Linked DNA regions of Canis lupus familiaris. The protein of the gene in region 5 interacts with the protein of the main gene of each other region in a pairwise test. Links are inferred from orthologs where the notes say so. Each region holds a gene or a part of one and is shown on either strand. Other genes may lie near its edges.

Region 1 (4,261 bases), on a different chromosome or scaffold from region 5:
TTATGCAGTGAGATCCAGGAAAATACCACAGAGATAGGATCACTTGCAGAATAGACACAATTTTTCAGATTCATTTGCAAAATGGTTATAGATAGTGTAAGAAGTGAACCACACCCTTCTATATTCCTCTATAGTGCACATAATAAAAATGGATCCCTTTGAAAGCATGTCAAGATTTTGGTTATGACAATAAAGAAGTTGCCTTCTCCCTCCCCCCCCCCCTTCTGCTCTAGTAAAGGGAATAATAAAAAAAAAAAAATACAGGCCCCGTATGTTTAGTGTTTAAGGTTTTAAGGTGTAAAGGGCTCTATATGTTGAATTTATTTCATTGATTCCAGCATGGCCATTTGAGTGCCAATAAAAAAAAAAAAAATCAATTCGAAAGTGTTCAAATTCTGACAGGTTGGAGTCTGTTTTCTAAGTTTTTCCTTAGGCTCTCTGAACAGAGCCATTTAAACATACCGCTTTGAGGCTGGCAGGGAGAATGGGCCAGGTCGGAAAAAAGTCATCATCTAAGGAAATGAAGTGGAAGATCCAACATTTATGTTATTTTGATGATTTGCTAGACGCTTCCTTTCATCTTACTCGCGTGCTAACCCCTTTTCTCCAGTAGCCAATTAATGCTGTGACAACGTTATCTTGGCCAAGGTCAAACAGCAGGTAAGAGATACAGGTGACTGGGGCTGGTCTCCCGGGGGCTCGGTCTTCCCCACTCTGCGAAGGGACACCCTGAGGCCCAACCAACGCTCCCCCCAGCATCCTCCCCCTGCTAAAGGGGCTCGTCTGATCACTGAGACCTGGAGGCCACTTAATGGGTCTCACTTGGTCGGTAAGGTGACCCTAGGGCTCTGCAAGTCCGCGAAGCTCCATCGCTTCCAAGGAAGCGAGCCGAGAGCCCAGGTGCGTCGGCGGCCGCCCAGCGCGCGCCCAGGCACAGCAGCCGCACGCGGCTTCCTTGCAGGTGCGCGCGCACCTGTCGCGAGGCGGGGGGAGGGGCGTGCGCGTGCGCGGGCAGCCTTCGCCGTACGTGCGCCGTACGTGGGCGCGGTGTCCCCGCGCTCGGAGTTTCGGGCCGGGATTCGGCCCGGTGCCGAGTGGGAGTCTGGGAGGGAGGGGCGTGTGCCTGGCGGTGGCGGCTCCCCCTGGCGGCGGCCGTGCGGCGCTGGCGGCGCTGGCGGCGCTGGCGGCGCGCAGTCAGGCGTTCTCCGCGGGCAGCCGGCGGCGGGGCCTTGCCTTCCAGCGCGGGGTCCTCGGCGGCCTGGGTGTCTGCTGCCCCAGCCGCTGTCGTAGGCGAGGACGGCTGCTTCTGCGGCTGCTGTTGGTGCGCGGCGGCGGCGGCGGCGGCGGCGGCGGCGGCGGCGGAGGAGGAGGGCGAGGCGACTGAGGAAGAAGGCGGCAGGCGCGGCGGCGGCGGCGGCGGCTTGGCCCGGGGCCGGCGGCGGCGAGGGGGGGGAAGATGGCGGACGTGCTCAGCGTCCTGCGACAGTACAACATCCAGAAGAAGGAGATTGTGGTCAAGGGAGACGAAGTGATCTTCGGCGAGTTCTCGTGGCCCAAGAACGTGAAGACCAACTATGTGGTTTGGGGGTAGGTCCGGCACGGCTGTGGCCTGAGGAGGGCCGGCAGAGGGGGGCGCCCCCAGGCGACCTCTTTCCTAACCCCTCCCCCCGGTTCCCTTGGGGGGATGGAGGGGAAAACAAAAAACAAAAAACAAAAAAACCCAAAAGAACCGGGGCTCTGAGTAAAAGTTTCTCACTGGAAAAGAAGTTGTACTTTTAGGTGAGGAGGGAACAGGAGGAGGTGCGCCTGGACGGGGCCGTTTGTGTCAGTGTTTGGGGCTCCACAGGGAGAGGGAGCTGGGGAGTTCCTGACTTTTCTGGTTCATTTTTGCCGGTAAGTGGTCGAGTGTCAGCAACGTGTGTAGGTGCAGAAAGGGGCACACCGTCCGGTCCTGGGGACGCCTTGCTGTGTTGTGTTCTTCAGTTTGGGTGTTTTTGTTGTTGTTGTTTTTTCCTCTCTCTTGGAGGCTGCCCTGTGTGGTTGTAAGTATCCCTGCTGCCCCTTGCAGCTCCTGGTCTGTTGCTTTCCCTTCCGTAATTCCTTCCCTCAGGAAGAGCAAAGAGAAGTCAGAACGGGAAAAAGATGGGGTCACTCGGGAAGAGTCCTCACAGCCCCTCTTGGCGGGGGGCGGAAGGCAGGAGTTTCCTCAGGGAGAAAGTTGCCGGGCGAAATGGGGACGGGGGGGGGGCGGGGAGAGCCCGAGGGTGGTGTGGGGTTTTAGGAAACGTGCTCTGAAGAGCGAGGTTTTAAGAATGTTGATCCCGTGCCGGGTTTCCTGAATATCAAGTCGTGAGGCAACATTATCCAGAAATAGGTCCGATGATCGTGCGGGACCTTTGTAGTGATGTTTCTGTGTCGTTGGTACTTCCCTCGAATGCTTAGAACCTTGGGCCAGAACCTCCATACCCGTTTGGCTCGATTGAATGGGGGGAACCTTGGGCTTTTATGAAGGAAGAGTGGATGAAAAGCTAGGGAAGATGTAGTTTGTTGGTTGCTACTTTTTTTTTTTTTGGCCTCGAGGGCTTATGGTTTGATTAGCTTTATGACATGTTGATGCAGTGACATCATTCTGAGTTCCCTGCGTTTTGTCCTTTGAATTTACGCAGACAATCGCATTTGATTGGAATTTTAACTGTTTTTTTTTTTTTTTCCTCCCTTGTGGTTAAGAAGTAGTAATGGTGTAGGGCAGGCAGTTCGATCTGAGAAATAGAGAAAATTCTTAGCACCTTGATTCCCGACTCAAAGGAGGTTAACTTAATCAAGAGGAGATGAGAGAAAACAGAAGTTGGTGAGAAATGCGCTCTGGTCCTTAAGAGAGGAACCACTTCTAGCTTGGGGTGTTAGGAAAGGTTTCATGGAAGTGTGTTTGGGATGTAGACGTGCTACACATTTTTCATGCACAGATGAGTAAGCTTTAAAGAATGGGTGAAGAACTTGAGGATGACATGATGGGGTAGGTCTTGAAGAACTGTGCGCTCAACAGCCTGTGAGCTGGGAGGGAAATGTTTCTTGATAGTCCAACGAAGCCAGTAGTGAAAAAGAACTACTTAGAGCGACTTCAAGCTTTGACAACAGTGAATCACCCCAATAAATATATTTTCGTTTCGTTTAAGTTCATCTCTGTATGCGTGTGTACATACATCCAACCTCATAACTGTAAACAATAGTTAGTCCCTTCTTGCAGGCAGTACATTGTGACTTTGCTCTCGTATATCATTAAGATAAACTGGTTACCTGTATGTTATATTTCATCGTACAGTAATTGGTAGTGATAATATGGTTTGAAAGATGTCAGTTTAAAGAAGTGGCAATGCAGGCTAGAATTGTAGTTTGGGGCTGATTATTTTGGGCTGCATTCAGATGACTTTAAATGATGATGTTTTTAGGTGAGGAGAATTTAAGTAGGAAGGGTGAGATTGGACATGAATACTGTTGAACAGATAGCATTATGTGATTTCATTAAAAAAGCTTGCCCCTATAAACTGCATTGTTTTATCACAATTCATTGTGATTTTACACTATTGGTTAAATTTTTGAGGGATGTCGTAAGAATCACACCTCTGAAATTCATAGTTGTGTTTACTGTAAGAGTGTTGTTAAGGATGTTGTTTATAGCAGTACTTACTTAGGAGACATAGGATAAATTTCTTGTAAGTTTAGCACTGGTAATAGTTGTCCTTCTCCTCATCAGTTTGTTTTCTCTTGTGGCTCCTTTCCAGTCTATAACTGATAAGGTTTCTCTCTCTGTTGACAAAGGCCAGATAGAACCAAATTTGGGCCAAATTCTAAAAAGTATATAGTACCTTAGAATGTGAATACGGTATGCTTTCCTTCTTGCTTCTTGTTCTGTCTTCTTTGCGTTCTTTTGCTTTAATGACATTTCCACTTATTAAATTTCATACTTTTATGGGTATTTTTGTTAGCCATGTTAAATCCTTTCTTGGGTAACAAAGCAAATATAGATAAATTCATGTGTATAATGAAGTCCAAAGAGTTGAATTAAAATTGAGGGAAAATTTTGTTTTAATTACTTCAGGACTGGAAAAGAAGGCCAACCCAGAGAGTACTACACATTGGATTCTATCTTGTTTCTACTTAATAATGTGCACCTTTCTCATCCTGTTTATGTCCGACGTGCAGCCGTAAGTAAAAATGTATTTTAAAACTTTTTTGGGTTTTTGTTTTTTTGGTGGTAGGTATT
Region 2 (3,595 bases), on a different chromosome or scaffold from region 5:
CCAGAGAGCATTTCCCAGAAAGCTGGCCCGTGACCTTCCGATCGATACTCCCCAGAGGTACCGCCGTGCCGACCTCTCGCCATCCATCGAGTTGCCCCTGTGAGCTCTTGAACACCTACGTGGCGTCCCTCGGCTCGATGTTCTTTCTGGTTTTGGCTAGCGGGTTTCGAGAGGGCTTGCGTTCCCACACAGCGTTTGCGTGAATGAGGTAATGATTACTTTGCTTCCCCTCCTGCAGAATTAGTCTCTGACACTGTAACTGCCCGAGAGCTGCAGATCAGCTGGAAATGATGGAGTGGCTGATGTTCCATCCAGGCCAAGAACCCTGAGGCTTTATTGTATTTTTTTTTCTTCCACTGGCCAGCCCCACCCCGGGGTGGAGAGAGCGCCCAGCCCCACTCCGGGCCTCCCCTCCAAGCCTCTCGGGGCGCCAGGCCCCACCTGCCCCCCAGCCTCCCTGGAGCTGGCCGGGGAACGGATGGGCTGAGCGCCTTCTCTTCTCCCAACAGAGGGGTCTGGTCCTTATTCTGGATCAGGAAGCACATCACCTCATTCGCTTCTTTTTGCTTTTTTTTTTTTTTTTTTTAAGATTTTATTTATTTATTTATGAGAGACACACAGAGACAGAGGCCAAGACACAGGCAGAGGGAGAAGTAGGCTCCTATGGGGAGCCCGAGGTGGGTCTCGATCCCAGGACCCCGGGATCCCCCCTGGGCCGAAGGCAGATGCTCAACTGCTGAGCTCCCCAGGTGCCCCTTCTTTTTGCTTTTGCAGCAGGTTTATTAGGTGTATCTGACGTATAAGACTCTTGCTGCCCTGCTTGCCCTTTCGTTGTCTTTCCCTAAACAAGCAGAGGGGGATCCCTGGGTGACTCAGCAGTTTAGCGCCTGCCATTGGCCCAGGATGTGATCCTGGGGACCCGGGATCGAGTCCCACATGGGGCTCCCTGCATGGAGCCTGCGTCTCCCTCTGCCTGTGTCTCTGCCTCTCTCTCTCTCTCTCTCTCTCTGTCTCCCATGAATGAACAAGCAGAGACCCTGTCCCTTCAGCAACACAGACCGTGCCTCCCAAATATCCACCCGCTCTGTCTACTCTCACCATTTCTGCAGCTGCCGCCCCCGACCAGCCACCGTGAGCTCCCACCCGGCCTTGTCACACCGCTGGCCGCCCTCCTGGCTGTGCTCTTGCCCTGTTAGAGCCCTGAGGCATTGCCATTAAGGATAGATGGGGCCTCGTTGCTTTGCACGTCTCCCACCTCCCTCCCCAGCCTGCCTTCCTGCCCCAGGACCTTTGCACAGACTGTTTCCTCTGCCTACAACACTCTTTCCTTTCATCCTTGGTTCTTAGCTTATGTCACCGCCTCCGAGGAGGCTCACTCATCCCCGGATATAAAGCAGGTCCTGCTGTTGCACCTCCGGTGTGTTTCCTTGATAAACACCGACTTGTATGGACTTGTATTTACCTCCGTGAGGTTTCTGTGTTTATCTGACCGGGCTGGGCGGAGCCTTGCCTGTTCATTCAGAGCCCCCACAAGTGGGTACGTGGGCTGTTTGTTGAAGAAAGGGGGGCCCGGGGAGCCCCTTGCTGGCCCTCTCCCCCCGCCCCTCCCACCCCGACAGTGCCCACCGGGTCCCCATCCACTGTCCCCCTTCCTGTCTTGACTCTCTCAGGACCTGGCCCGGCTGCAGGAGGGCCGACAGCCCGAGCACCGGGACGTGACCCTGCAGAAGGTGTCGGACTCAGAGAAGCTGCTGTATGTGCTAGAGGCGGACGCAGCCATTGCCAAGCACATGAAGCATCCCCAAGGAGACATGATTGCCGAGGAGTAGGTCCCCCCGCGCCAGGCCCCTGGGACAGGGCAGGAAGGCTGTAGGCCGCTCAGTGTTCCGGAGCCCAACGCGGGGTTCACCAAGGGGCATGTGCCCAACGGTGTGGTTATCCTCCCTCCTCAGGGAGACTGAGGCTCAGCACTGACGTCCTCTGTTCTGGTCCCAGTGTGACCACAGCTCCCTGACCAGCACGCTGTCCCGCCTCCCAGCTCCTGAGCACGCTCTCCCGCTCCCAGCTTCCCGTGTTCACCGCACCCCCCTCAGCTCAGCTGTGGATAAACTGGCACCCAAAATGCCTCCCAGCTCCTTCTGCACTCCCCACCCTGGCAAGGGCAAGGGCCTCTCTGCGCCATCCCTGTCCTGGCCCAGGCCACCCCTGTGGTTCCTGCTCCATGGTGGGCTCCGGGGAGCAGTGGACCTGCTTGTTTCTTCCAGAACCTTCTATGGTTCTGGGCACACAGTAGGCCCTGGGAATACATTGATAGGAGAAGAAAGGGCGAGGGAGGATGTCAGTGATTGGATGACAAGGCCTGGGTCGCCGTGTCCTTCCAGGCCACTGAGCAGAAAGCCCCGGGGCCAGGGTCTGGGGTGGGAGGCCCCTCCCGGGGGAAGGGGGTGGGCAGTGGGGCTGCCAACCAGCCCTGCCAACCAGGATGGCCACTCTCCCCACTCAGCATCCGTCAGCTGAAGGAGCGCGTGATCAGCCTCCGGGGGAAACACAAGCAGATCTACAACCTGGTGGTGAAGGAGGTGGACCCACAGGTCAACTGGGCAGCGCTGGTGGATGAGAAGCTGGTACGGCCCAGGCTGCAGCTGTGGGCAGGGGGTACCCCGCCATCCAACGGCTTCCACGGTCCCGCCTCACAGAGGGTCACACTCCTGATGGTGCCCGACGTCGGCACCAGTGAGAAGAGCACGGCTCAGAGGTGTAGCGCCTGGCCCAGTGTCCCTCAGCCGAAGTGGTGGAGACTGGGCACCTCCGGGAATGCTCTCCAGCTCTGGTTGTCGGGGCCCAGGCAGGCTAGCCCGTCTCCGGGTTGTGTGTCCCCCGACCAGGCCTCTGTTTCCCCATCTGTGAAATGGAAATGACAACCGTGGGGGCCTCTGAGGTTACAGTGAGATTCAGTGAGATGACACGTGTAGGGCACGGTGGCAAAGGTGACAGTCTCCCCTCCACCCCGCCTCTCTCCCGGGGCCCCTTGGCTCCCTCCTTGGTTCTTGGGGTGGCTGGGCTGCGAGTTCGGGGCCCTCGCCCACCCTCTGTCATGGTCTCTCCGCCCGCCCTCCCAGGACAAGCTGAGCGGCCAGGGCTTTGGGACGGACCTGCCACTGGTGGATCACCAGGTGGAGCAGCACAATATCTTCCACAACGAGGTCAAGGCCATCGGGCCGCACCTGGCCAAGGACGGCGGCAAGGTGCGTGCGGTGGTGGCCTGGGCCTGGGCCTGGGCCCCGGGGAGGAGGGGTCACGCCTGCGGCCTCCCTGTGACCCGCAGCCCGGCTCTATCCGCAGGAGAACAGCGAACTCCAGGCCAAGTACCAGAAACTGCTGGTGAGAACTCGGCCCCCGGGGAATGGGAGGGGAGAGGGTGGGATGTGGGGGGATTGGGGGGACAGGAAGCGTGTGCAGTAAACATTTCTAACAGAATGAAAGGGGTTTGCGTGTGAAGGAGATTGTACCCTGAGCCCCCACCTGAGAGGTGCTGTGGTTTGCTAGTGGAAAAAACCCTAACAGGTCCCCTGGATACAGCCCATCCTACAGTCCA
Region 3 (3,595 bases), on a different chromosome or scaffold from region 5:
CTTCCCAGTTCCACTGCCTGATGTCACTGCAGGAAATCCCTCCTCCTCCGCCTAAAAGCCTGCTAACGGGGTGAAGAGCTGAGTCGGCAACCCCCAGTGGAACATCTGGAAGTTACTAAAGAAACTTTTAAAAAAAACTTCTGTCTGTTGAGGAGAGGGGGGAGCTGACCAGTTATTTGTTTAAAATACGCCTTTGGCTAGACTGGGTTGAACTGCAGACAGGATCCAGCTTGCTGGGAGGAGGTCGCCTTACTGTGTCAAAGGGTGGGGATTACATTAACTTTATGAGAAGAAACTTACTGTGAGAGCTCAGCAGTTTCTTCATCATATATTTTTTTTCTCTCAGACAGCTCATCAGGCAGATACTTCACTATCAATTCTTCCAACAGCTGTGTGACACAGTACCTCCTATCTGCTAGATACTAAAAGACAATATTATTTACATTCCAGTACTTTTCCTATGGTATAAAACAGGCAAAACAGTTGAACTGAATAGAGTAAAGCCTTTATTACATATTTATACAGTCAATTCTGAATTAAGGGGTGAGGGGGGGAACATGACAACAGATGGTGCTAAACAGGTCAACCTGTCCAGGCTGTGCTGAGACCAATAAAGGTACACGGTTGCAGTGGAAACCGTGCCCTATACAGAAGACCCTTGTCTGGCTGTGGCCACGAATCCTCTATTAGCAGCACTCAGGCCTGCCCTGCCCTCTCCCACACCAAAGGCCAACTTCTATCGGGCAGCTTCTGGGTACTTCAAACTAGCATTTTAACTGAGAAACAAAAATAAGCTAATAAAATAAAGGCAAGTGCCTTATTTAAGAAAAGCAAAACTATTCCCTTTCTTGTTCCATTTCAGTGGCAGAGTTTCCAGATAATTTTTCTTTCAGATTTTTGCTTCCCTCATCACCTACTATCAATCACTCAGACCCTCAGCGAGAGGTTGTGTCCCTCTCCATATAAAATGGTGCATTTGTACTGCTCCCTCAATACTCTGCAAAACTGCCACTCACACATTTCTGTCATTCTCTAGTAACTGCTAAAAGCCGTGCCTCTCTCCCTCCTGCTATGAGAAGCCTGCCTATCCTGCAAGGCTTGGCTACATCTTTACCTTTTTCGTGAAGTCTGCCTTAATTATCTTTCTGGCTCGCAAGAAGCCCATTTCTACCGCCTTTACCACATAAAAGGCAGTTACCACACCCTGCACCGTATTCATTACATGGACAAGGAGACATTATATTTCTGTAGATAAGTTTAAAAACTGCCTAAGGCCAGGGACCGGGTCAGAGGGTGTGTACAGGATTTTCGAACACAAAAATGACCAATATAAATTTCATAAAAGTAGTGAGGAATGACTTTTGGGAGACAATCACAAGATACAGAGAAGCCATACTTTTAAAATCTGCAGATGTAGCAAAAATAAGGGTTTGTCATTATCCAATGAAGAACAGAGGAGGAGGAGGGAATGTGGGAGGTTGGGAAACGGGTAACAGTAGTGGTTTTCAAACTTCAGCACGAATCAGGGCTTGTTAAAATGCAGATTGCTGAGCCCTAGCCCACAGAGTTTCTGATTTAGTGGCTGTGGAGTGTAGGGTCTGAGAATTTGTATTTCTAACAAGTTCCCAGGTGAAGGGGAACACATTTTGAAAACCATGGGGCTATATAATAATAATATATAATGTAATACTCTTATATTAAATTTGGGGAAATAACCACCTCTCTTACATTACTGATAGGAAATTAAATCTGTACAATATTTCTGGGGAATGTAGGCAACCCAGTAATTGGTTTTAAGAGTCTTATGAATATATGGCTTTTGGTTAATAATTCACCTTCCAGAAATTTTATCTTAAGGAAATATAGTCAAAGACACAAAGTGTAGTATATATAAAAAAAGAACAAAACAACTTACAACAGGGAAATGTTAAATCAATGAACTATTATGTTGCTATAAAAATCCTATCTTTAGAATACATTCAAATGAAAAAATGAGCAAAAGAAAATGACAAGTAGGAAAAGAGTAAAACTATAGAGCATATCAATTTGTTTTTTAAGATATATATTAGATTTTACCTACTATACAGGATATCTTTAAGACACAGGATAAGGTTATTTTTAAACAGTGTGTTAATTGTATCTTTATTTAAAGCCATCGTGTCTAATTATTAGAGAAAAAGTGTGATAAATGTGCTACAGAGTATCTAAAAACCTGGAAACACAAGAAAAACAGCATGATTGGAGTACTTCACCTGAAAACATTAAGTATATCAGCTGAAATGTAACTAACAAACTCTTTAAGAATGAGTTTATCTTGTTTCTGGACAAAATTTGTATATGGTTTAATGTTTTACATACAAGCTTATTATATATCAAATTAATAATACACATATGGTATCATATCTGTACAGAGCTGTGTTTTCTATATAGGAAATAAATACACACATTCATTTACAAAATGTCTTATCAACTTTTTATTTTTTTTGAGCAATCCTATCACCACAAGAAACAGGATCACTCTCCCTAATCAATGCCATCCTTGCAGTTGGAGCTCAGAATTATGATGCCTGGGCCTCACCTTATGGGGGGGGGGGGGGGTTCCAGTCACCCAAGCAGGATTGGTAGAATGTTGTCTTTCCATTGGTTACAGAAGGATATGCACCTGAGATCTAGCTATTTCCTTAACACATGGGCTATACAAGGGCTATGGGAAGCTCTTCTGTCCATATACCACTCTTTAGAGCTGTGCTGCCCAAATGGTAGCCACAGTCACCTCTGCCTACTTAAATGAGAATTAAAATTTAAAATACAGTTCCTCAGTCACACTAGCCACATTTCAAGTGCTTAATTACTACATGTGACTAGTGGCTACCATGCGGACAGCATAGTATAGAGCATTTCCATCAAGGCAAAAAATTCTATTAGAGTTTGTCCAGATGTTAAAGGGGGCAGAACTGGGGCCAAAATCTAGCCTATTACTGAGGAGGATGGAAGGCAGGGCAACTGGGTTTCCCCAATACTGTCATTAAAATTGAACCCATTCTACACCAGGTACTTGATCACACCAGATCTTGTTAAAAAAAAAGTACATGGGGCTTGGCCTCCAGGACCACCTAACTTTCCCCTATGCTCTCTAAATTCTTCTTTCTCCACCACTAGCATTTGGGTAATGAAACGTTATCCTTCCTGGTCACTTAGCATACATAAAGTAACTTATTCTGAACGTGGTAATCACTATTTCTATGGCCAAACAGAAATCAATGTTGCCAAGCTTAAGACCAATAAACAGATAAATATACAAATGTTTACCTCTTTTAAGCTTTCTTTGCAAAGAGGACAATATGGTGTATGATCTAAACAACGCTCAAGGCAATTCTTACAGAATGAGTGTCCACAAGGGGTTGTTACTGGCTCAAAAAACAACCTGAAACCAACCAAAATACATGTTAGTTTTCACGTTAAACTATACATTGGAAAAAGTGAATAAATAATAGACCTCTATTTGAAGAAGAAGGAGGATCTAGTGAGCAGGAGAGGAAGGAAGGGGCAGTGATAAATATAAGTACAATAAATGTAAAATACATAACAGATTTCA
Region 4 (4,045 bases), on a different chromosome or scaffold from region 5:
GAGGAAGCAGTCCACGTCCACAAGTCCTTCCAGGTGGGACTCAGACTGCTAAGCGGCACAGGTGGCTACAATCCCAGCACAAGATCTTGCCAATCTTTCCCTTGAACTCTGTGATCTACCCTCACCAGCTTCAGAACACTCTTACCTCCTCTTTACCTGGCTGACTTCTATTGATCCTTTAGACCATAGCTTAGAGCTCTAGGAAGCCTTCCCTGACCTCCCCTCCACTTAGCATAATGCTTAGCCACAGACTCCATCTAGACTTCCTCTCTAGACTGCCAGCGCTACGAAGGCATTGCTTTCTGAGTCAAGTTCAATGCACAACACCTGGTCCATTGCAGGCATTCAAGCGGGAAGTTGAGTAAACAAAAAGTCCTTACTTACAAGGGGCCTAAATCTATCTCAGTGGATCTCGCACAAAGCTGATAACGAAAACAAGAATCTCACACCCACAGCTTATATTATACTGCAATCAGTTCAACTATGACAAAGAATCAAGAGTTTGTTTTTCTTTTTTTCTTTCTTTCTCTTATTTTCTTTAGAGAGGGAGGAAGGGGAGGGAGAGAGACAATCTATAGCAGGCTCCACACCTAGGCCAGAGTCAGACGTGGGGCTCGGTCCCAGGACCCTGAGATCATGCCCTGAGCCAAAATCTAGAGTTGGACATTTAACTGTTTGAGCCTCCCAGTCACCCCCAAAGGTTTGCTTTTCTTTCTTTTTTTTTTTTTTTTTAAGATTTTATTTATTTATTCATGAGAGATACACAGAAAGAGGCAGAGACACAGGCAGAGGGAGAAGCAGGCTCCCTGTGAGGAGCCCATTGTGGAACTCAATCATGGGACTCTGGGACCACGCCCTGAGCTGAAGGCAGACGCTCACAACCACTGAGCCACCCAGGCATCCAAAGCTTTGCTTTTCTGAAAGCTCCCTTCACTGGCTTCCCACCTTCCACTAAATTATAGGATTCAACAATCTGGCTCTCTCCTTCCTTTGGTTCAAATTATCTCTGTCCACGCTAACTTAGAAAGAGAACCCTTTGATACATGAAAAGGATTCAGATCCAGGAAAACAGAAACCCCATCTTAAAAAATCTGTGATTCTGGTCTGGCACTGAACACCAAGGCAGAAAACTATAACATTCGAGCCTATGACCGAAGCTGACCCTTTCAAGATGCAGGGCATATCCTGAAAATGAAAAATGACCCAGCCCAGCACTCACCTGCCCGGTCTCATATTTTCCATTCTGTTTTGGCACCTCAAATACACCAACCGTCTCCAAAACTTTGCCCTCTGGTCGGTTTCTGGTTAGGAAGGAAAAGAACAAGCAACTGAAAGGCTGAGGAGGTAATGGTACCTAGCCCATCAGAAAAAGCTACTAGGATACCGAGGGGCCAGGCAGTGACAGCAGAGAAAGGCCCAAGCCGTGGGGCAGGTGAAGCAGGGAAGGGTCCTGCCAAACCACCACTCCAGATCCCGTCTTTTCCTCTTTGAGATCTAGCCACAGGCCCTGCCTCGGTTTCTGTGTTATGTCTGACGGCTCCCACATCACTTTCTTCTCTCTTCACTCTCAGCATTCCTCATATCATGCCCTCGCACCCTGCTTATTTGTACCTCTTGCCTGTTTCTTTCCTGACCTCCCACAGCATTTTAACCGCCCTTCCCACCTTGCATTTCTGTTATTTGTGCCCATGTCTCATCTCCACTAGAGACCGTAGGTTCTCTGGGAGCAATGCCTGCGTCTGATGAGCCTGTGTTCCCCCTCAGAGCCAAGTGTGTAAAACATTTGTTCTAATTCCATCTCTGTCTATGCCCAGAAACTGCAGCCTTCACCCTGCCCTTGAAGGGCTTAACCATTATCACCATACGTCCTACTGCACTCCCCGCATTGCACCTAGTAGTCTTTCAATCTAGTTTTTGTTCAGATTTACATCAAATTTCCCTCGGGTCTTAAGGTGCAAATACTTATCATCCATCTTTCCCCAACACCAGTGTCTAATTTCAGCCCCCCCCAAAAAGGTCAGTTCTCTCAGTGGTCTCTCTGGACAGGGCTGCTCTTTCTAGGGGTCCTTCCAAGGTCTGCTATTCTTAGCCTTTTGGAGATGTGAACCGTATGCTCCCCCTCACTTGATCCTCCAGGCCGTCTGACCTGCCTGTCCCATCGCTAGAGGCCATGCTCACACCATCCCGTGACCTCAAGCCCCCTCCCCGGGTCACACACTAAGAACCAGTCTCCCCAAGGTCACGCTGAAACCTGGGCCCTACGCAGGGCCCTCCTAAAAGTCCTGTTTCCCACTTCGAGCATCTTTCTGAGGGAGGCCTTGTCCTAACCCGGGGCTGGGGTTCATGTCAGAGCCCTAAAGTCTAATTAAAAGGCTGCCCACTAGCAACAGCGCCCGAGATCCCCATCTGGGGAGGCAGGATTCGCTCTGGGAGGGTTACTAGCTCCCGCTCGGGGCCAGCCCGGCGTAACCCGGGGCTCTGGGCCGCGCTCCCTTCTCTGTTCCTGGCGCACGTCCCAGGCAGGGCGGGTCGGCTGCCGCCGGGACCCTCTCCCAGGTCGCACCCCAGTCACCCTCGGCCGGCCGAGCCTCCCGGCCGCCTCGCTGGCCGGAACACGCTCCCCGGGCTCCGGGGACGGGCCCCGCGCTCAGTCCCTCACCGGGACGAGAGGTGCCTCCGCGTCGTCGCTGCCGCCGCTGGCGGGAAGGCCCCAGCTCCACCTGCCACACAGAGTGGCCTCGGCCCCCGAGCCCCGGTTAGCGAGCGGGCCCACCAGCGGCTGCCCACGGCCAGGGCCCGCCGGGCCACGCAGCCCGCCATGTCCCGCGGAGCGCCCGCTCGGCGGCCGACACTGGGCCCAAGCCGCGGCCGCGGGCCTTCTGCCCCCGCCCCACACTGCCCCGCGCCGCGTCCCCGCCCCCTCGGCCCCCGGCCGGGCTCAGCCCGCCCCGCGAGCCGCAGGCTCCTTCCGGCGCGCCGTGGGCGGAAGTCCCGGCCCCGCGTCACCTGACCCTAAGTCCGGCAGACATGGCGTCCTGCCTGCGTGCGGGTGGTCGGCTGGTGCGCGCTTTGGCTCCCGGTGGGGAGCTGGAGCCAGAGCAGCTGCCCCGGAAGCTGCGTGCAGAACTTGAAGCCGTGCTGGGGGAGAAGCACAAGGACGGTGATTTTCCCAGTGGCCCCTCGCGCCTGGTTCCCTTCCGCCTGATCCGAGATCTGCATCAGTACCTGAGAGAGACGGGTGAGCCCCAGTCTCCAGCCCGGACTCACCTCCCTTTTTCCAGAGTCTTCTCCCACCTCTGGCATCGTTACGAGGGGGAAAAAAAATGCCATCACTCTCCGTCACCCGCGGAACGGTCATCTAACCAACCCAAGAGTCACCTCATAAACCGTAGGGCAATACACTCCCTTAACAGCTTCCGTGGATGGGGCTTTCTCGGGATGGCCGAGAATTTTCTTGTGCCGTTTCTGCTCTCTTGAGAGTCTCCCCTTCACTACGCAGCCCACTCCGGGCCGCCTGACCTTTGAGGAGGTCTAGTTTTAAACCAGTACCGCCGCACAAGTTCAATTTCTTAAAAGCCACATTAGAAAATGACGTAGGACAGTGAGCTTGTCCTGTTTGGGAATCTGAATTTCTTTCCATCTCAAAAGCAAGCCAAATCTGATAGGGTTTTTTATTTTTCTCTTTTTCTTGTTTTTTTTTTTTTTTCTTCCACGTAGGATGATGGAAAGCCGTATTGAAAGACCTGATCTGGGAGTAGCATCTGAGTGCTAGTCCTAGCTCTGCCACAAAGTCCTCTTGGAGAATTCATTTCTCTTCCTTGGGTCTCAGTTCCCTTAACTGTAAAGGAAGGGAATAGGACAAACTAGTTTGTAAGGTCTTTTGCCAGAGTTAACATAGCCTATCCAGAGGTACAAAGGGTAGACCACTCAACTATTAGAACTAAAACATACTTGTTGACAAAGATACTTAATTCATTACTTTGTACTATGACAAGTCTAAAGATGCTTTCCTTCTTTACTTACCTACACACAAAAACTTTGATAT
Region 5 (3,595 bases):
TTAAAACTTGTACATAGAGGGGAAAAAAAGATAATTTACCAAGGTTCCTGCAATGGCTATGTTTTGAGGAATAGAACACTATTATTCTAGGTTTCCCACAGTGAATGTATATTACTTTTATAATGAATGAAATGAGCTTCAAAGCAATTGTTTGACTTTATAGAAGATTTTAACAAAAACAGTATTGAGGGATCCCTGGGTGGCGCAGCGGTTTGGCGTCTGCCTTTGGCCCCGGGCGCGATCCTGGAGTCCCGGGATCGAGTCCCACGTTGGGCTCCCGGTGCATGGAGCCTGCTTCTCCCTCTGCCTGTGTCTCTGCCTCTCTCTCTCTCTGTGACTATCATGAATAAATAAATAAAATTAAAAAAAAAAAACAGTATTGAGACATCTTACCCAAGTTGTTAGGAAAGATTAGCCTCTGACTCACAGTATTCCAGGATGATGCAGAATAAAACTTTACTAGAAGGGTGAATGAATTTGCTCTAGGGGAAAGAGAAGTCATTGTGACTCGAAGCACAATTACCAGCCAACTGGGTTAAGTCAGTGCACTTCTTTGATGCATTTAGATGAGCAAGTAGATGAGGTGTGTGAATGTGATACCCCTTTGTTTTTTTTTTCTTAACATAGTAATAATTTGAACTCTATTAGACAACAATAGAAAGACCTCACTTTTAGCCTAATTTCTTTTGTTGAGTAAATCAGTAGTTTATATGTTAAGCAACAGCAAGCTTCTTTGTCAAGAATCTTTCAAAAATATTAGCAGAGAAAAAATTGTATGAACGTTTCTATTAACCTTCAAGAGTGTGTCCTCTCATGAAAAATGCTATGTGTCCTTAGGGTGGATTTACTGGAAATCCTCCAACTCAAAAAGTCTAGGCTGTCTAAAACTAGAAAATACTACTTTTTTGCGGATTTATAAGGAAAAATAGGGGTTTGAGAGATAGCTGGATTGTGCCAATTAACTCCTCATGGGAACATCGTTTCCAGTGAGGCAGATGAGAAGACCATTCAACTAGCAGAACCTAATAAAAACAAACTTCTGCCTGATATGTAGGGGTAGAGTAAGTAAAAAGTTTGTCTTGGAAGCAATAAGAGAAACAAGGGGCTTTCTTGTGTATTGTGCAACTAGGTCTGATGCTTCAGTTTTTCCATTTCACCCCCCAGAGGACAAAACTGCCAAAGCCGAGGTTCAACAGACTGCTGACGGATCCCAGCAGACTCCAGATGGCACGCAGCTTCCGTCTGGACATTCCTCCCTTGCCACAAGCCAGGGCACTGCAAGCAAATGCCCTTTCTTGGCAGCCCAGATGAGCCAGAAGGGCAGCAGTGTCTTCCGCAAAGCCAGTCTAGAACTTCAGGAGGATGTGCAGGAAATGCATGCTGTGAGGAAAGGTAAACACATGACTGGAACCATTAGGAAGAATGAAGAGGTCCTTTTGGTTCTTTTGATCCTTCAAATTTGTGTATGAGCTATTATTAGGGTAGTATTTGTATAAAAAACTTCCTCTTTTAGGGCCAAGGAAGAAGGTCATCAAGATAGGCGGTTAGAGGACTGTCTGAGAAAATGCGGGACTTTCTTTCTGGGGTGTGTGTAGGATGTGACCACTTTTTATAGTAATTGCTTCATTCTGAAAATACCCTGTTGGCGTAAGCTATTAACAACTGCCCTTTGTTTCTTTCCTGCCATCCTGTGGGATAAAAGGTAAAAAATAGTGTTTCTGCAGTAAATGATGGTCTTAGGACTCCTAAGCTGTGTATCTTACCGATGGTCACTAAGAGGCAACCTTAATTCCAGATGTGGCTGTATCCACAGAGCACCAAAAGTCCCCAGAAAACCTCACCAGCAGAAATGATATATATGACCAGAATTGTCTTCTGTGAAGAAAATTGAGATTAGGGTTGGGTGGAGTGGGAAGGTGGAGAAGACCTGCTAATAACCAGCTAGAAAGCTTTGGACTCTTAATATTCATTAAAGCTGTCTGGTAGCTTTGAAAACAAAACAACACTAGGCATTGGTCATTAAAATAAAAGGGAAGAACCAAAGCTTCATATTCTTGGTTGCTACTACTAGCTTTGGTTATGCTCAGCTGCTGTGTGTGTGTGTGTGTGTGTGTGTGTGTGTGTGTGTGTGAACTAAGCAGTAATTAATTTTTGACGATATTTCTGGGAAGTATTGTGAACTCAGAATGTTGGTTCCCTTTTTTCTTGTTACTTTCATTACAGAGGTTGCTCAAACCTCCGTGAACCCTAGTGTAATTAGTGTGAAGGCCGATGGAGGGGACCCAAGTGGATTGCTGAGGAACTTCCAAGATATCATGCGAAAGCAAAGACCAGAAAGAGTGTCCCATCTTCTTCAAGATAACTTGCCAAAATGTAAGTCTCATTGTTATTTACCTGATGTAGGAGAGGATTTTTAACTTAAACATATATTAGCTTAAACACAAAATTGCATGGTGAGTTGAGGATTAAAACTCATGTCTCTTGCTTGATGCAGGTAGGTGTTCTCAGCCATAGTAAATACAAATCCTGTTGGTAACATGTTTTCTCTCCCTGAATACCTACCTTCTATGCCCTGGCACTGTGCTAAGCAATTGACATACACGGTCTCATTTGAGACCTTCATAGTCTCAAGATGAGGATGTCCTATAATTTGCCCACATGAATACTTCGTTAATTTGTCCAGAATTACCCTGCTGCTAGGTGACCAAGCTGGGGTTGGAACCCAGGTCTTTTGCCAAAGCCCAGACATGCTTCTTAACTGTCAAACTGTCCTGTCTTTTGTTTGGTTTTTAGCTGTTTCCACTTTTCAATATGATCGTTTCTTTGAGAAGAAAATTGATGAGAAAAAAAATGACCATACCTATCGAGTTTTTAAAACTGTGAACCGGAGGGCGCACATCTTCCCCATGGCAGATGACTATTCGGACTCTCTCATCACCAAGAAGCAGGTGTCAGTCTGGTGTAGTAATGACTACCTTGGAATGAGTCGCCACCCACGAGTGTGTGGGGCAGTCATGTACGTAGCCCTCAGCTTTCAGATACCATTGACGTTATTTGGCGAGACATTAATGATTTAGAGGGATCTTTTATGGGGGCAATATTCAGCAGCTAAAAGTGTGTCATAACACACTATTATTTTAAGCTTTTAAAGACATCCACAGATGACTTTTAAGCTAGAATGCACAAATAGGTATGTGAGGATTCAAGTGTATGGGCACATTGACTATTCATGTCCATTTCTTACCACTTCTCAAGTGAGTGCAACTTCAACCCCGGGCCACCTTGCACAGAGGCATCCTTGCTGATGCCTCGGTTGGAGAGATACAAATCTAGCAGCACTGGAGGAAAAGCTACTTCAGAAAGACACGAACAAGGATGGTAGATCCTGTCATTCATGTCCTTCCGGAGGTTTGCCATGACTAGGGACATTTGAGAGAGTTGCTTGCCAAAGTCTCCAAGGGAGGCTTGTTAAAGAGATTACAGTCTGAGGTGTAGTGATAGATCTATCCTAATATTATGTGACTGGTTTCTGGAGAGTAGGTTCAGGTAATCACCATCTAAGATGTCCCTGTAGAGACTGATGTTGTGTTTGGAG
Region 6 (4,229 bases), on a different chromosome or scaffold from region 5:
GAATAAATAAAATCTTAAAAAAAAAAAAAAAACATTATACCATACTGGGGCAGCCCAGGGTGGCTCAGCGGTTTCGTGCCGCCTTCGGCCTGGGGTGTGATCCCAGAGCCCCGGGATCGAGTTCCATGTTGGGCTCCCTGCATGGAGCCTGCCTCTCCCTCTGCCTGTGTCTCTGGCTCTCTCTCTGGGTCTCTCATGAATAAATAAATAAAATCTTAAAAAATAAAATAAAATAAAATTCTACCATAGTATTTTAAACCATTATTGCTACAATGGAAGCTGAATAACCAAAAAAGGTGCCTGGGCGTGTTTTCCTTCCTAGGAAGAGTGGTGTGCAAGTCCTGGGTAAACCTTTCAGACTAGCTAAATGACCCCTTAATTTTTCACTGGGCTTCAGAAACTAGCTGGGGACATTTATCTGAAATGCAAGATAGCTCATGGAGCGATTAGTGCACTGCATAACACAGTAACAAATCCGGTGTGAGCTGTGATTAATTTGTTTCAAAGACTTTTCACCACCTCAGGATAACCCTGTGAGAGAAACAGATACCTTGGCCTTAGTTTTACAGGCAGGTTTCTTGGGGAACCACAGAGAATGAAGGACTTGTGCTAGTTCATCTACCAAGAGGCCGAGGAAGACTGAAAACCTGACTCCCTGGGGCATCCTAAACCACAGTGTAGACCAGGAGTGGATCAGACTCGGGCTAGATGCCCAGCTCTGTCATGTACTATGCGTGTTAGCTTGTGCAAACTACCTAACCCTTGTTAAATCCAGTTCCCATCTGTGAAACGGAGCTGATCATCCCTACTTTTTTTTTTAATATTTATTTATTTATTCATGAGAGACAGAGAAAGAGGCATAGACACAGGCGGAGGGAGAAGCAGGCTCCATGCCGGGAGCTTGACACGGGACTCGATCCTGGGACTCCAGGATCAGGCCCTGAGCTGAAGGCGGTGCCAAACCACTGAGCCACCCCGGCTGCCCCGATCATCCCTACTCTATAAAGAAAGGTGGTGTTTTTTGTTTTGTTTTTAAAGGAGATGCTGTGTGTGCTGCACAACAGGATGTGGCTATTTCTGACGCCCACCAGCTCAGGGTTTGTTCTACTCAAGAATGCATATATATGGACAAATCACTGGTCTTTCCAAGTCATAATTTCTCTATTCACAAATGAAAAAGAATCCAAATCGACTTAACACATTGCTGTCTTTTTTTTTTTTTTTTTTTAAAAGGACTAGTGTAGGGGATCCCTGGGTGGCCCGGCAGTTTAGCACCTGTTTTCAGCCCAGGGTCTGACCCTGGAGACCCAGGATCGAGTCTCACGTCGGGCTCCCTGCATGGGACCTGCTTCTCTGCCTCTCTCTCTATCTCCCTCTCTCTGTCTCTTATGAATAAATAAGTTAATAAATAATCTTAAAAAAAAAAAAAAAGACTACCGTAACAAACTCTTGCCAAGCCAACAGGTGTGTGTGCTTTTCATACCTGTGCTTCATTTACTATCTGTGGACCACGCACTGTATAGGGAAACAATATTCTCCACCATACAAGAAATCATAAAGCTGGGATGCCTGGATGGCTCAGGGGTTGAGCGTCTGCCTTGGGCCCCAGGGCATGACCCTGGGGGTCCTGGAATCCAGTCCCACATCGGGGTCCCTGCATGGAGCCTGTTTCTCCCTCTGTGTCTCTGCCTTTCTCTGTGTCTCATGAATAAATAAATAAAATATTTTTTTAAAAAAGGGAAATCATGGGCAGCCCCGGTGGCTCAGCGGTTTAGCACCACCTGCAGCCCAGGGTGTGACCCTGGGGTCCCAGGATCGAGTCCCGCATCTGGCTCCCTGCAGGGAGCCTGCTTCTCCCTCTGCCTGTGTCTCTGCCCCTCTCTCTCTCTTGTCTCTATGAATAAATAAAAAAATAAAATATCCTTTAAAAAAAAGGAAATCATAAAACTATCAAATCCACAGCTACAAAGTAAAGTCTCCTATTCCTTCAAGTCTTGCATCCCTCCGTAAGACTCCGAAAGCAGGCCCTTGGATGGGCCGCGGGAGGCTGGCCTTCCACCGGGTTCCCAGCAGCCCAGGAGGCAACAGGCACTTGGCTGGTTCGTTTCTGTGACCTCAACCCTTGCCTCTTCACAGTCCTACCTAATGAAAGCATTCCCTTTAACTTGATGATTTGGGAGCCTATACCCGTGTATAATCCGAGAAAATGCAACGTGGACATGCTATCCTGCAGAGAAAAAAAAAAAGCACCAGGCCGTAAGCTGTTCTCGAATCCAAGATCCAAGCAGCAGGTGCGGTGCGCTCCCAGCACCTGGGCTGCCTGCGGGTTATGCTGTGGGGCAGACACCACCGGCCGGCCCTCGCCAAGTCCCGAATCTGAGAAATAACGAGACATTTCGGCTTTTCGGGAAGATGCGTGATGAGACTAGAGCACCGCGCATCCGGGGGTTGGGGGGGACCCGAGGAAGATTCAGGGCCCGCAGGGGGGGGCGGAGGCAGCGGCAGGTGCGCGGACTCACCCAGCAGCAACCAGGGCTTCAGGACGGCGACCCGCAGGTCGAGGCTGAGGTCCGGCACGAATCCGCAGCTGCCCCCGCGGCCCGGCGGCCCGGCCTCCACCACGACACGCCGCGCGCCGTCCCATGTTTCTACGGTGGTCCTCCCGGTCAGCGAGGTCACCCTGGTGCATTGCTTCCGCAGGCCCTTCCGGGAGAAGGCGCGAATTTCCTGGCTGAGGGCGTGCATCCCCCGCGCCCCCGGCGCCCCGCCACCCGCTGCCGGCCAGCCCGGGCGGAACCGGAAACGGCCGGGGGAGGAGCGCGGAGTGCGCCTGCGCAGGGGCGGGGGCGTCGCCGTCGCAGTAAGGCGGCACCTGATTGGCCGCCGCCGCGCCTCGGGGCTGGCTACTTCCGGCGCCCGCCCCTGCCCCGCTGTCCGCGCTGGGCCGGCCGCCGGGCTCCTTCCGGCTGCTGTTGGCTCTGGCTCTCTTTTTACTTTTTTTGTAAGATTCTACTTATTGGTTCGTGAGGGACGCCGGGGCGCGGGCAGAGGGAGCGCAGGCGCCCTGCGGGCCGGTGATGTGATGCGGGGCTCGGTGCGGGACCCCGGGGCACGCCCTGGGCCGAAGGCGGAGCCCCCCCCCCCCGCCGAGCCCCAGGCGCCCCCAGGTCGGTCGGTGACCCCCGCGGGAGCTCCGGGCCCTCCGGGCGGGCACTGCCGGCGGAGCCGCTCCGCGTCGCTCGGACCCCGCGCAGGGGCCACGGCGGCAGGCGCGGGACGGGGCCAGGGCGCCCGGGCTCCTCCGCGGAGACCCCCGCGGGACACCCTGTCTGCGGAGCCCCTCCCCCCGCGGAGACGCCCCCGTCCTCGGAGCCCCCACCCGGGCGCGGATCCGCCCCTCCGCGGAGCGCCTCCCCCCGCGGAGCACACCCCTGGCCGCGGGGACCCCTCCCTCCACGGAGATCCCTCCTCCCCCGTCCTCGGAGCCCCCCCCAGCCCCCTCCCCCCTCCCTCCAGGGGCCCGTCCTCGGAGCCCCCTACCCCCCTAGTCCGCGGAGCCCCCTCCCCTCATCCTGGGAGCCCCCTCCCTCCACGGAGCCCCCCCGCGTAGCCGTCTCCCCAGCATGGAGCAACCCCCCCGTCCTCGGAGCCCCCCCAGCCCCCTCCCCCCTCCCTCCAGGGGCCCGTGCTCGGAGCCCCCTACCCCCCAGTCCTCGGAGCCCCCTCCCCTCATCCTGGGAGCCCCCTCCCTCCACGGAGCCCCCCCCGCGTAGCCGTCTCCCCAGCATGGAGCAACCCCCCCGTCCTCGGAGCCCCCCCAGCCCCCTCCCCCCTCCCTCCAGGGGCCCGTGCGCGGAGCCCCCTACCCCCCAGTCCGCGGAGCCCCCTCCCCTCATCCTGGGAGCCCCCTCCCTCCACGGAGCCCCCCCGCGTAGCCGTCTCCCCAGCATGGAGCAACCCCCCCGTCCTCGGAGCCCCCCCAGCCCCCTCCCCCCTCCCTCCAGGGGCCCGTGCGCGGAGCCCCCTCCCCCCCAGTCCGCGGAGCCCCCTCCCCTCATCCTGGGAGCCCCCTCCCTCCACGGAGCCCCCCCCCGCGTAGCCGTCTCCCCAGCATGGAGCAACCCCCTCGTCCTCGGAGCCCCCTCCGTCCACGGAGCCCCCCCACGGAGCCCCCTCTCCCCCCCGTGGAGCACCCCCCCCGCGGAGCCCCCTTCCCCCACGGAGCTCCC
Region 7 (4,365 bases), on a different chromosome or scaffold from region 5:
TAGATCAGCAAATGCTTTATCAAACCACTTTTAATGGTCCTATCTGGAGTGGACTTGTAGTAACTGGAATCTTGACAATTCTTTGTCACCGTTTAGATCAATTTCCTAACTTGGGCTTAAAAAATAAACAGGCAAAAGATACTGGCACACCATCAAGTGACATTTTTCACTCTTCTTTATCCACTATCATATAACTGCCAACCATTTATAGTATTTATAAATATCTAAAAAAATTTGAGACCTAATAATGTTTTGGACAGTGTACTATATCATATATTTATCTTTTGTTAAGTGGAAAGGTAAGAAAGTTTTGGTTTGGAGTGAACAGTTAATGAAGGTTATTTACCTAAAATGACATGGTAGGAAATAATTTTTAGGTAGCAATTATATTTGTTTTTTCATATCCTAGTAAATGATCTCAACACTAACAACACAGATTTCATTACTCACTGAATGTCAAGTGAAAACTATGGTCAAAGTTTCTCATGGCTTATGAATTACTGCTCTAATGCACAGCCATGGAAATGTCCTGGAGAGTATCAATGCAGAACTACAAAATCATGGTTCATACTTTCAGATCTGAAATCAACCTTGGAGTCTGGCTGGTCCAATACTTCTATTTCAGAAATGTCAAAACCCAAATCTAGGAAGTCTATCATCTGTTCAGGGTTACAAAATCTAGTAGATAAACAACAGAACCTAGGTTCACTGCACCAGACTCTTATGCTGCAGCCCTCTTCATTTTGCCAGCTAAAAATAATGTATACAGGGTATTGCTGCTACATTATGAATTTATATCTCTTAAAGCCATTAATACCTATGTAAATTCAAAGATACTATAACCAAGACAGTCCCAGAGACAGGCAAAAAGCCATTTATTTGTTCCATGAGATACTGGTCCTAAACCTTACTGTGAAAAGTCCATGACAGCCAGATTGAATCGTGATCTTGACCACTTTTAAAAACTGTTCTCTCCTTCTTTATAGTCATACATAGTTTGGTATAAAAACAAAAAAAAATCCAGATTTCATATTTTCACCCTCAAACAACTGTACAAATCCAGGATGACTAAAGACACTATAGTCTTTCAAAGGCTGCCTTTAAAAAAAAAAAAAACAAAAAACAAAAAAAACAAAGGCTGCCTTTAGTAAGAGAGTTAATAAAAAAAAAAAGACATCACCATATCACCGTGTATTTCTAACTTCCATACTTAGTAAGTGGCATTTATGTAATGTGTCTATGACAAATACTGTAAAGGATTTTTTTTTTACTGCTTTGCCATTCCTCCAAAGTGAAAGGTGTGAAAGGCTATGAAATAGCACACAGGAATGTACCATTTAAGAATGTGAAGAGAAAAACATTTTTATGGGGTAATTTTAATGGGATGTCCTCCTAAGAAAAAGGAACTTAAATTGTTCTACTCCATTTTGGTGTTCACGTCTTTCAGTTGGGAGGCAAGTTAGCAACATGAGGTAACACACAAATACTGGAAATTATGAAATTTACGATGGCAAAATGCTTTACCTTAAATCTTCTATAGTGGACTCGGCCTCAACAATCTAAGAATAAGAAGCATTTCCAAACACTGCTTTAAAACACATTTCAATGGCAAATTTTACAGTTTGCTATTAGTAGGCTGTTTACCAGTATATAGTATTTCGTGTGAACTAGATACCACTTATTACTGAAATAGTTAAGAAATCTTTTTTATGTTAGGAGTAGTATGTGTTGGTAGGTACAACAGCACTTACTAAAATCAAAACCATCTCACTGATGGGCCCCTAAACTTTGCTCTATAAGGTCACACCCTCAAATAGCCAAAGAAAACTCTCCAAAGTGATTTCTGAAATCTGTGCTTCTACCACACTCTCTTCCTTTATTTTCTTAGTACAACCCCCTCCGCCAGACCCTATGATCCTACAATCTAACAGCTCCTACTTTAAAGCTCAAGTATACACTCTAACCTCCCCAATTTCCTAACCTCCTCTCTCTTTAAATATCCCACAGCAAGTTTCCACTGCAGGATGCTGAATTTCACCAAAGGGGGTTTGCTCCCTTTTACTTATTTCTTCGGCCTTTCTCTTCTATCTCTGCCCCCGTTCTGCATCAGTCCCCCTTCCCTTTTCCTGACCCTCCAGTTTCACACCATTTCTACCTTAAGTCCTCTCTTTTTATCAAATCACACCTCAGCTTCGTAGACCATACTAAGGCACCCTGGCTGGGAGAGAAACTATGTGGTATTTTTCTTCCCTTCAAATTCCTGCCGTGTGAATACCTGCAGCTCCTTTTCCTGGGGACCACCGCCAACCTTGAGAGTGGGGGAAGAAGTAGGGAAGCCCCTCTCTGCTTCAGTCCATCTTGCACACTCGGGGCTACTACGGCAGGGCGGGGCGGGGCGATCTTGGCCTTTACTGCGCCACAGCAGGTGGGGGGTGGGGCGGTGGCGAACCGCGCCCAGTCCGATCTCGGACGGGCTGAAGAGAGGCAGCGAAGGAGATGGGGCCGCCCCCACACCCCGGGACGGGAACTCACCTTCTCTGAGGCGAGGGCGGGTGTCTACTTTAAAACTACTGCCCCCCCTCCCCGCCGCCGCCATAGTGGAGCCGCCAAAGCCGCCGCCGCCGTCGCCACAGCCACCGGCAGGCGGGAAGGCAGGGGTGGAGGTGGCGGAGGAGGCAGGCACAATCACTGCCGCCGCCACCGCCGCCGCCGCGCAGGCGGTGTAGGAGGAGGAGGAGGCGGCAGAGACGGTAGCTTCCTGAGGGGAAGACTCCGCCGCCAGCGGTGTGACTGTGCTCGGCGCCGCCGCCATCGCAGCGAGGCGCGGACAATTGCACTTGCGCCTCGCTCCCGTTAAGCTCTTTTAGCCCCGCCTCCAGCTTAGCCCCGCCCCCTTCGCCCCTCTCTTCCACGCTTCAGCTCGAGCCTCGTTCTCGCTCCTTCTCCCCACCAATAGGAACGCTCTAGACCCACGGGCTGCCCCTCCCCCTTCCTCCACTGCTTGACGTCACCCGCTTCCCTTTGGAGGGGAAGCGATGATGGCCAAGGGCAAAGGGCAAAAAGCGCGGGATGTAACAGCACGTGGGACTCACACTGTGAGGCCTCTTCCCTTGGAGGAGCTGATCTGAAACCAATTTAAGGGTAAAGAAAATGTTAGAAAACCAGTTGATTCCCACTTCCAAAATATCTCTTTCTTGTAGCCCTCAGTACAGAGGAGATAAATAAGCGAATATTTGGTGAATACTTGGTCATTTGCATCGTGGGGCCGTAAACGACTACTTATCTATCCATCTACCCATTTAAATTATGGTAAAAACCTGTGAATCTGGTACCCAACCAAAGAACTAGGATATTACTGATATTTTAAGACTTCTCAATATTTTCCCCAACTGCCTTCCTGCGTCCCAAAGGAACCAATATCTTGATTTACATTTATTATTTCCATTCTCTTTTTACACATATTCTTATACATGTATGCCTAAACAGTGTTTTTTACTTTTGTTTTCAAATTTCACAACATTTTGTATCTTATTCTAGGTAGCATTTTGGGACATTTTTCTTTTGCTAAACATTTTGTTTCTAATATTCCTCTATGTAGCTGTAGTTCATTCACTAAAAAAAAAGATTTTATTTATCTGTTTGATACAGACAGACCATGAGGAGGGAGAGGGTGGTGGGAGGAGCAGACTCCCTGCCGAGTGGGGCTTGATCCCAGGACCTTGGGATTATGACCTGAGCTGAAGGCAGATGCTTAATCAGCTGAGCCACCCAGGTGCACTACTTCATTCACTTTTAATGCTGTACAATATCACATCCGTTTCCCTGATGATGGATATGTGTCCTGGTGGAACTGTGCAAAATTTGCTCTTGGGCATGCTCTCCTTTTCAGTCTCCCATCCATTGCCCTGTTTCAAGGCGTCATCTCTTGTCAGAACTATGGCCTCTGTCCTACTGGTCTCCTTTCCTCTGATCTCAATCCCTTTTAGTGCCCCCACCTCACCACTTATTTTATGGTTTAGCTATATTAAATTAATTACAGATTACTATGAAGACTGTCATTTCATTATGCAATGTTAGTATATGTTGTTCCCTCTTCCTGAAATGCCCTTTTCCCCACATTAGGCACCTGTCTAATGAGCCCTCATACAACCTTTGAAACCCAGATAATACATCTCTTCCTCCAGTAACCTGTTCTGTCCTACTTAGCCTTAATTCCACCCTCCACTGTGCTGCCCCCTACATCTCATGCATATTTGTATTGTTTGCCTTCCTTCTCCATAGCCTGGGATCATCTTGATAACAAAATACACTTTGTTTTGTTTTTGAATTCTTGTGCTCTAGCACAGTAAAATTCTGGGACCAAGG

Evidence for each region.
Region 1: the proteins of ALAS1 (region 5) and CDC73 interact in a two-hybrid assay, tested with the Homo sapiens proteins (3 studies listed by BioGRID and IntAct). The two-hybrid records come from large-scale screens. The link is inferred for Canis lupus familiaris from reciprocal best matches to the Homo sapiens genes ALAS1 and CDC73.
Region 2: the proteins of ALAS1 (region 5) and PPL interact in binary tests that used the Homo sapiens proteins (3 or more experiments, as listed by UniProt). The two-hybrid records come from large-scale screens. The link is inferred for Canis lupus familiaris from reciprocal best matches to the Homo sapiens genes ALAS1 and PPL.
Region 3: the proteins of ALAS1 (region 5) and LONRF1 interact in binary tests that used the Homo sapiens proteins (3 or more experiments, as listed by UniProt). The two-hybrid records come from large-scale screens. The link is inferred for Canis lupus familiaris from reciprocal best matches to the Homo sapiens genes ALAS1 and LONRF1.
Region 4: the proteins of ALAS1 (region 5) and POLDIP2 interact in binary tests that used the Homo sapiens proteins (3 or more experiments, as listed by UniProt). The two-hybrid records come from large-scale screens. The link is inferred for Canis lupus familiaris from reciprocal best matches to the Homo sapiens genes ALAS1 and POLDIP2.
Region 6: the proteins of ALAS1 (region 5) and DUSP19 interact in a two-hybrid assay, tested with the Homo sapiens proteins (3 studies listed by BioGRID and IntAct). The two-hybrid records come from large-scale screens. The link is inferred for Canis lupus familiaris from reciprocal best matches to the Homo sapiens genes ALAS1 and DUSP19.
Region 7: the proteins of ALAS1 (region 5) and ZMAT1 interact in a two-hybrid assay, tested with the Homo sapiens proteins (2 studies listed by BioGRID). The two-hybrid records come from large-scale screens. The link is inferred for Canis lupus familiaris from reciprocal best matches to the Homo sapiens genes ALAS1 and ZMAT1.

Annotation. Positions count from the first base shown.
Region 1 is NC_049259.1:6,545,142-6,549,402, reverse strand, and holds the start of CDC73 (parafibromin), read left to right. Parts: upstream 1-1,456; coding exon 1,457-1,587; intron 1,588-4,096; coding exon 4,097-4,202; intron 4,203-4,261.
Region 2 is NC_049227.1:36,814,136-36,817,730, forward strand, and holds part of PPL (periplakin), read left to right. Parts: intron 1-1,670; coding exon 1,671-1,825; intron 1,826-2,503; coding exon 2,504-2,624; intron 2,625-3,119; coding exon 3,120-3,245; intron 3,246-3,342; coding exon 3,343-3,381; intron 3,382-3,595. UniProt on the Homo sapiens protein: Component of the cornified envelope of keratinocytes. May link the cornified envelope to desmosomes and intermediate filaments. May act as a localization signal in PKB/AKT-mediated signaling.
Region 3 is NC_049237.1:37,049,411-37,053,005, forward strand, and holds part of LONRF1 (LON peptidase N-terminal domain and RING finger protein 1), read right to left. Parts: intron 3,425-3,595; coding exon 3,310-3,424; intron 423-3,309; coding exon 301-422; intron 1-300.
Region 4 is NC_049230.1:42,576,393-42,580,437, forward strand, and holds the start of POLDIP2 (polymerase delta-interacting protein 2), read right to left. Parts: upstream 2,872-4,045; 5' UTR 2,821-2,871; coding exon 2,660-2,820; intron 1,302-2,659; coding exon 1,220-1,301; intron 1-1,219. Other genes in the region: TMEM199 (transmembrane protein 199), read left to right, coding at 3,028-3,238. UniProt on the Homo sapiens protein: Involved in DNA damage tolerance by regulating translesion synthesis (TLS) of templates carrying DNA damage lesions such as 8oxoG and abasic sites.
Region 5 is NC_049241.1:37,967,733-37,971,327, reverse strand, and holds part of ALAS1 (5-aminolevulinate synthase, nonspecific, mitochondrial), read left to right. Parts: intron 1-1,164; coding exon 1,165-1,392; intron 1,393-2,223; coding exon 2,224-2,373; intron 2,374-2,793; coding exon 2,794-3,016; intron 3,017-3,595.
Region 6 is NC_049257.1:26,447,136-26,451,364, reverse strand, and holds the start of DUSP19 (dual specificity protein phosphatase 19), read right to left. Parts: upstream 2,805-4,229; 5' UTR 2,746-2,804; coding exon 2,520-2,745; intron 1-2,519.
Region 7 is NC_049260.1:76,214,485-76,218,849, forward strand, and holds the start of ZMAT1 (zinc finger matrin-type protein 1), read right to left. Parts: upstream 2,852-4,365; 5' UTR 2,813-2,851; coding exon 2,533-2,812; intron 2,412-2,532; exon of another isoform or gene 2,276-2,411; intron 1-2,275.